2 linked regions of the Macaca mulatta genome follow. The main gene of each other region encodes a partner of the protein of the gene in region 2 in a complex. Links are inferred from orthologs where the notes say so. Each region holds a gene or a part of one and is shown on either strand. Other genes may lie near its edges.

Region 1 (4,506 bases), on a different chromosome or scaffold from region 2:
GATGCAGGGAAATAGTGAAATAGTGACTTTCACAGGCTATTTGTGAGCATGAGAAACCAGTGTGAACTTTAGGAGGGTAGTTTCTTAAGATCGACTAATATTTTAAATGGATATATACTTTGTCCCAGAAATCAAATGCTGAGGTGGGAGAATTTATCCCAACAGTTTACAGACACAAGCACGTAAAATCCTCCTTACGCATTGTCACAGGAGTACTGTATGTGGTTTAAAAAATTAAATGAAGTCTGCATACAGCCTAAATGCCCATCAGCAGAGGAACTGGTTAAAGAAAAAAACAAGGTATAACCTTTCAGAGATATTCTGAGGGAAAAAGCAAGATGACATTAAATATATAAAATAAGTTTTTATTATGTCAAATAAGAAATATTTGTATCAGCAAATTTACTTCTAGAAGGATTATCCTCAATAAATACAGTAATTGCCATTGAGGTAGGGAGAAAGGTGTCTTTTTCCTATTTTTAACCCTTCATTCACTGTTAACTTTACTGTTTGGTTTTGTGTTTAGAGCGTGCTGTTGGCCCACTGTGTGTGCTCAGTTACTGGAAGATGTTTTGGCTGTGGCCTCACAGGCACTTGAGGCATAGATGTATATACAGGTCTGCCACCCGAAGAGGCAAACTGACTTGGCTTGGCCCAACCTCTCACCCCTGTGGAGGGAGGGGACCTCTTCCTACTCATTGCAGACGAGTTCACTTGTTCCCACCACAAGCGCAGAATGCCTTGTACTTCCCACCCCTTTGCTCCCCAGGGAGCTCTGCAAGTCCCCAGAAATACTTGCCCAACCACTGGCACCCTTGGAAAGGTCCAGCTGCTGACCACCAGCGCCCTGCGACTCCCAGTGCCCGTGACATCTGGAGGAACTGAGCAATGGCTGAGGTGGAATTTCATTTGGCACTTAATGCAATCCTCTGCTTCTGCCAGAGGCGGTGTATTCTATATAAAGCTGCCAAACCTGACCATCTTCTCACTGAGCCTTGACCTCTTCCATCCAAGGGCAAGGCCACGGATCGCTGTGCATGACTCCCGCGCAGTAAATGTGGCATTGGGACCTAGCCCAGCTGAGCTGAGCAAAGCAGGCCTGCCTGGCGGAAGTGGGTCCTCTCCACTCTAACCTCTGGCTCTGATGAGCAGCGGCTACATAAACTGAGACAGGATATAGACACATCCTGCCTGAGTTAGCAGCAAGAAATAGCCGCCCCCCTTCCGCCCCCCCCACCCCCTGCCGTTCTCGCACAGCAGGGATCCTGCCATAAATCAGTCCGAAGTCTAAAGCGGAATGGCTTGCAAGCAAGGGCTGCGCAGCTGTTTGTCTCCCAAGGCAAGTGTTGAAGGTCTGAAATCTGAGTCCTGGAGAACTGCTTGGGCGGCTGGGCTGGGCTGGGCACGGGGGCGGAGGTCAGGCAAGCCCATCCTCTTCAGACATGGGAATGCCTATCAGCCTCACCTCCTCAGTGCCTGAATTGGAATAATGACAGTGGCTTCTGTCCCTTTAACCCAGGACCCGCCATATACACACACACAAACACGTGCTCAAGTTACACACACACGTAAACTCCGGGAACCACAGTCTCATGGACAATGATATAAACATGCCCAGCACGGATCCAGCACTTATGATGTGTCAGTCTCCGTGCCGGGACATTGATACGGACTTCTTACTGCTGGATGAGGAATCTCCTGTTATTATTCCTACTTTGCAGATGAGGAAACTGGAGCTAAGAGAGGCTGCCTTGTTTAGAGGCAGTGCAGTGATCCCAGTGCAGACTGAGGGGCCTCGCTCTCAAGTACCATTTATGCCCGCGCACTCCCAGGCCGACCCAAGCACAACCACGGGCACACGGAGTGCCGTGTACACACGTAGACCGAAGCTACGCTCCTCCATGCCAAGCTCCAGGCTCGGGCAGGGTGGGGTTGAGGCCTCACAACCCCCTGGATTTCAAAGACTTTGAGTTGGTGTCTCCAATACCCATATCATCATCATATCAATAAGGTAACATTATCACATGATAGGCTCAGGCTATCTCCTCTCTGACAGACTCTAAGAATAAGACCCAGGCAGGGTGGGGGATAAGAGGGATATGCATTAGGTTTTTAGGTACAATAAAATGGTAGTTATTATTGCAAAAGTAACAGCAGAGGAAGAGCGCAGAGAGAGGCCCAGCAATGTTTCCAACCACCTACAAAGACTTTCATCGCATATGATTTCCTGTCAGCAAGAAAACGTAATGGTTTAAAAGAGAAAGAAAACAAACAGCGAGGAATTACAAATCCCCAAAGGATCCAGGCCGCAGGATTTCCCCGCATCTGTGTGCCTTTGCAGCGCCCAGAGGAGCGAGCAAGTCCCTGGGCAAGGCTGGAGTTGCCTGGAGTTCACCAGAGCCTGCCCGGTCGGCCCCTGGCTAGGGAGCAGCACAGACGCAACTTGTGATGTGGACTCTTCCCTAACTGTTCTTTAGGGGGACAGTGCTGGCCCCACACATTTCCCATGCCCCGCACAAAGAAACAGAGAGCGGGCGACACGCCCTGGGCGGGCGGGCTGGCGGCCTCTCCAGCTCGGGGCGCGTGGAGGCTGCGCGTCGCCGTCCGGGACGCGGGACAGGGACTCCGCGCAGCCCAGGCGCCGGGGAACCGGGGCTGGAGTCGGGGATCTGAGCCCAGCGGGCGCCTCCTCCGCCTGGAGGCCGGGCAAGGACCAGGACACCCGGGAGTCCGTGACCGCGGCTCGGCCCCTGGCTGCTGCGGGCCGCGGCCTCCAGTGGGTCCCCAGGACCCCTCCCCACGGCGGGTACTCACCGAGGCTGAGTGGCCGCGCCGTGCCGTTGGGGCTGCTCGTCCTGGGCATCAGCCCGGGCAGAGACCGCGGGGAAGGGCCGGACCGGGCCGGGCCGGGGGAGGGTCGCGCTCCCGGGCTACTGACCCTCAACGGCGAGAGGAAGCGGCACCTGGGTCACACTCCTCCCGCGCGGGCCGAGGGGAGGGGCTCTGGCCCGGAGATAGGCAGACTTCATTTTTTTTCTGCAGACTTGGCTGGTAGGGTTTCCACCCTTTTTTTTTTTTTTTTTTTTTTGAACACACACCCGCCCACTTCTGAACTCTTCTTTGCTCCAACTTTCCTGCGCAAGAACCACGCTTTTCTAACCGTTTCTCTTTCCATCTGCCACTACCGGATACAGAGGTTGTGGTTGAGAATTCCCCCTGGAGTGCAGGGAGAACTTGCCAATGTGACTTGCTGGCCTGGCCCAGCACTGTCGGGAATGGTGACCAAATAGGGCAGACCTGTGTTGAAATCTTGGCTGGCTGCGCGGCCGCTGGATAGCTGGGCGGCCTCTCTGAGCTAGCCACGGGGCATTTGTCCCTGGAGAGAGTCCCTGTCTTCTTGGCCTTTGGGGGCCCTGTACCCATGGATGGGGTGTTGAGCAAAGATCGTTCCAAAACAGGAAGAATTGCTGGACAAGGGTTGTGATTTGTTCCCATTGCTTTTGTCTGAAGCTGCCAGACACAGTGCAGTTTGTGAATTCGCTCTACTTTTGCCATGAAAACCTCCACAAGGATTTCGTTACATATCTTGGTTGGTTAAATGCAGTCAACTGGCACCACCTACAAAAAAGTGTATCATAGCATTATCTGCCCCTTCTGCCCAGAGACAAGGGCAGGGAACTTGAGGCCCTTGTTTTAAATCCCCGCCCAGGGGAACACCCTGTGCTTCTCCTGTGTGATATCTGAACCGTCCTGTGCTGCTTTTCTTTTTTTTTTTTTTTAATTGTACTTTAAGTTCTAGGGTACATGTGCACAACGTGCAGGTTTGTTACATATACATACATGTGCCATGTTGGTGTGCTGCACCCATTAACTCGTCGTTTACATTAGGTATATCTCCTAATGCTATCCCTCCCCCTCCCGCCACCCCACCACAGGCCCAGGTGTGTGATGTTCCGCTTCTTGTGTTCAAGTGATCTCATTGTTCAGTTGCCACCTGTGAGTGAGAACATGCGGTGTTTGGTTTTCTGTTCTTGTGTTAGTTTGCTGAGAATGATGGTTTCCAGCTGCATCCATGTCCCTACAAAGGACATGAACTCATCCTTTTTTATGGCTGCATAGTATTCCATGATGTGTATGTGCCACCTTTTCTTAATCCAGTCTGTCATTGATGGTTATTTGGGTTGGTTCCAAGTCTTTGCTATTGTGAATAGTGCCGCAATAAACATATGTACTTTATAGTTCCCCAAGCACTTTCGTGACGCCCTCGTCTCCCCTACCTTCTGCCATTAAGGCCTGTCCTGCACAATCCAGAGAGCCAGGCCAGTTGTCTGTACAATGTATGGGCGGTGCCTTTGGGGCTGTCATCTCATTGAATACAATGAGAGGCTGAGCCCTGGAGATGTGCAACACAGAGGCTTTGCTCACCTCTACCTGGGCTGCACAAACTCCAGGCCTTCTTGACGCAGTGGGAAAGCACTTATGATTCACTTTAGTTAGATCATGAAG
Region 2 (3,981 bases):
AAGTCTAATGCAATGGGTGGCATGTGGCAATTGTTCAAATATTAACTACTAGAAAAATATTGGTATAAATAGGTGTGAAAGAAGGGTCAGATAGAGAGATGGTCACACTGGGCAATTCACATAGAGATCTTATCATGTAGTGATTCTACAGAGCCAGTTATTAAGCCACAAAAAGTCTCTTGGCACACTCACAAAAATGCTACCAGTTTGGAGGATTGTAAGCTTCATGCCCCACACCACTGAACAGGGAGTAAATTATTAATCCCTGAATAAAACCCCACCCAGAGCTCCCACAGAGCACCTTGTCTATGGATCATGCCACCGTGAAGAATTCTGGCCACTGTACAGGACTGTTTTTCATTCAGCTTCAGAGTGATTCCCTGAAATAAAGATAATGGCATGATAAGCTTTATTTTAAGGTCTTTCTGAGGTTACTTTAGAAACAACTTATGGCAATTTCGCAGGAAAAGCATTTTCTATTTATACCCAGGATAGTCCTCAGCTAGAACAGGCATGAAGCCTGCTTTGAGGAGGAATTTGAGATGAGGATGAAAAGACAATATTGGGGTTGGCCAATTCCCTAACTCCATGAGCAGCCTCCTTCACTGGGCCAGAAGAGTCACTGGTGGGCAACAATAGGACGAGGGATTACCATGGGCTCCTCTGTGACCTTCTCAATCTGTATGAGTCGCACTTTCCGCACCTCCTGTCCCTTGACTTGGGCAGGGCTACCTGGGGCAGGAGACCCGTTGGTGTACATGTCCTCGGTCACAGTATTCAATGGATGCGATACAGCCTGTCAAGTCAAAACAACAAAGCAATGTATGAAATCAGGAGCAAGGCCCACAGTCAGTCCACAATCTGCAATTCTAACATTCAAGAGGCTCTGAAAACTTATTTCATAAGTTTGGCCTCATTCTTATTTGAATTAACATGAAGCTGTTTGTAAGCTTTATTTCTCCAACTTAATAGACATGTTAGCCAAGTGTGGTAGTATGCACCTATAGTCCCAGCTATAGTCCCAGGGCAACAGAGCGAGACCCTGTCTCTAAAAATAAGTAAAACAGACATGCTTATCTAGGTTGCTGCAGAAATATTAATGTGCCTTGATTTACATGGTGCTCCCCTGGATCCTACTTGGGAGATTACATAATATATAACAAAATTAGAAAGATTCTGAATCCTGCAGCACCTCAGGCTCCAAGGGTTTCTGGCATGTCCCCTTCTCCTCTGTATTTCCTTGAACAACCTGATGCTCTCAGTCACACAGCAGCAAAGGTAATTCAGGTTAACATCAGTTTCTCATGAATCACCTCTTAGGCTACAAAGAACTTCTACCTGTAGAATTAGGTGCTTAGGACTGGGCCCCAAACCACGGTGATGACAATAATACATTGCCACTGTGACTCCTTCCCCTAATCTCAAAGACAGCAAAGCTAAATGAGTTACTCTACCAGGCAGCAAGACCTCTTCATTATAAATCTAAAGTGATTTAAGGCACTGTGGTAAGAAGAAAGATAAAAGACCAATGTAACAGAACAGAAAGTGCAAAAACAGAGCCACACATTTATAGTCAGGTGACTCTGCAGTGAACTCAAGCCAATGACGTGCATGCTGAAGCTTTCAGGGGTAAAGTGCTCTGATATCTGAAAATTATTTGAAATACCAGGAAAAAAAGGTTGACAGATGGGCAGTTTTTGGATAGAAATGTGATAAAGCAAACATAGCAACATGTTAATTGTAGAATCTAGGAGGTGTGGCTATATGGGTGTTACTATAAAATTCTTTCATCTTTTTGGCGCCATTCCAAGAGCAGCCAGTACCCTTTAAAAATGTTATAAAATTCAATTTTGAACCATTTGAGCTTAATCTGAAGACTTTATTTTCCTTTACCCATAAGTGTCTCTACATGTTAGGAATGAGCATTTTCAAAACTGAAAATTTAACATTGACACAATATTGTCATCTGGTCCTCAGTTCATATTTAAATTTTGCCAACCCTTTCAAGAATGTCCTTTATAGCTATATATTTCTTCCCCAGTACAGAATCCAATCTAGGACTTTTTGGTCCCAGAATCCAATCTAGGACCAGAATCCAATCATGCATTTTTCACATTTCCTTACTCTTCCTTAATTTGGAAAATTTCTTCTTTCATGACCTTGACATTCTTGCAGAGTACACACCTGTTATTTTGTAGATGTCTCTCAGTTTGGGTTTATCATCTGATGTTTTTTTAAAGATTAGATTGGGATTTTGCATTTTTGGCAGGAATTCCAAGAAAGTAGTGGTGTGCCCTTTCCAGAACAACACTATTCTTAAAAGCCCAAACCTGAAAATACCCCAAAAGTCCATCAACAGTAGAATGGATAAACTGTGGCATATCCAGTGGATATCCCACATCAATGGGAATGAATGGCTACTGCTACACCACAACATGGTGGATCACCTGTGGATCACTCACAGGTGATTGCTCTCTTCTCCTTAAAACACTCCTTCTCAGTTTGCTTTGCTGGTCTTTCCTCATCTTACTGATCTGTTAATGTCTAAGAAGCCCAGGGCCTGGGGTAAGAGCAATCACAATGGGGAAAAACTATGGAAACCTCTGAAAACGCTCCCTTCCCACCCCAGATAAAATATTAAATCAAAAATAATATAGCCACCTGGAGGAGGAGGAGGAGGAGGAGGAGGAGGAGGAGGAGGAGGTATATGCCTGAAGTGGGCTTATGGAAGGATCTGCTGAAAATAGAGGATAGCTGTGAGGAGTGTGCCATTCACTGTGTGGGGAAGGAGAAGGGTCCCTAGAAGGGAATACATGTATACCTGAGCAGTGTCCACTGGCCTGCCCAAAGCCTAGAAAAGGACTAGAAGACGAGAGACAAGGAAGTCTGGAGTAGAGGCTTACATCATTTCTAAGGGACTCTGATTTCTAAGTAGAAACTTTGATAAGATAGTGAGGTTTGGGCCAGGTGCAGTGGTTAACACCTGTAATCCCAGCACTTTGGGAGGCCAAGGTGGGGAGATCGCTTAAGCCCAGGAGTTTGAGACCAGCCTGGGCAACATGGTGAAACTCCTGCCTCTATAAGAAATTTTAAAATTAGCCGAGTGTAGTGGTGCAAGCCTGTGGTCCCAGCTACTCGGGAGGCTGACGCAGGAGGTCAGGAGTTGAAGGCAGCAGTGAGCCATGATCATACCACTACACTCCAACCTGGGCAACAGAGGAAGACCCTGTCTCAGAAAAACAAAAACAAAAACAAACAAACAAAAAAAACACAACATGGTGAGGTTTGAAGTAATGTTCACTATCAGGTGACCTCAATGAGGGAAGTACTGAGAAAGAGAAACTGCCTTGTCTAGCAACTAGAAACTGCCTTGTCTAGCAACTAGAACTTCAAAAAAACTCACATGACACCAAGTCATATGGCATTGCTGTTATAACAAAATTGTCTAAGATAGGCTTATATTAAAAAATTGACTTATGATACCTGGGATACACCATGCAGGTATGAAAAGGAGGTTCTGAGGGTAATCTTGAAGATTTATTGTTAAGCAAAAAATAATAATAATGTGATGAAGGGTATATTAGCTTCATCATAAAGAGTGAAAGAATGATTATATTCATATTTGCTTAAAAATTCATAAACTGGCCAGGCGCAGTGGCTCACACCTGTAATCCCAGCACTTTGGGAGGCTGAGGTGGGAGGATCACTTGAGCCCAGGAGTTTGAGACAAGCCTAGGCAACATAGTAAAACCTTGTCTCTACAAAAAATAAAAAAATTAGCTGGGCATGGTGGTGTGCACCTGTAATCCTAGCTACTCGGGAAGCTGAGGCGGAAGGATTGCTTGAGCCCAGGAGGTCAAGGCTGCAGTGAGCTGTGATTATGCCACTGCACTCTAGCCCGGGTGACAGAGTGAGACCCTGTCTCAAAAAATAAAATAAATAAAATAAAATAAATGAAAATACATAAACTATGTCTGGAAG

What was found.
Region 1: the proteins of MPP1 (region 2) and GYPC are in contact, whole or in part, in an NMR structure (PDB 2EJY), measured with the Homo sapiens proteins. The link is inferred for Macaca mulatta from reciprocal best matches to the Homo sapiens genes MPP1 and GYPC. Residues at the interface, in NP_002427.1 of Homo sapiens: Pro81, Met82, Gly83, Ile84, Leu86, Lys87, Leu88, Leu100, Val130, Gln134; in NP_002092.1 of Homo sapiens: Arg123, Lys124, Glu125, Tyr126, Ile128.

What each region holds. Positions count from the first base shown.
Region 1 is NC_133417.1:10,656,648-10,661,153, forward strand, and holds the start of GYPC (glycophorin-C), read right to left. Parts: upstream 2,966-4,506; 5' UTR 2,864-2,965; coding exon 2,815-2,863; intron 1-2,814. UniProt on the Homo sapiens protein: This protein is a minor sialoglycoprotein in human erythrocyte membranes. The blood group Gerbich antigens and receptors for Plasmodium falciparum merozoites are most likely located within the extracellular domain.
Region 2 is NC_133426.1:161,083,908-161,087,888, forward strand, and holds part of MPP1 (55 kDa erythrocyte membrane protein), read right to left. Parts: intron 797-3,981; coding exon 653-796; intron 381-652; coding exon 302-380; intron 1-301. UniProt on the Homo sapiens protein: Essential regulator of neutrophil polarity. Regulates neutrophil polarization by regulating AKT1 phosphorylation through a mechanism that is independent of PIK3CG activity.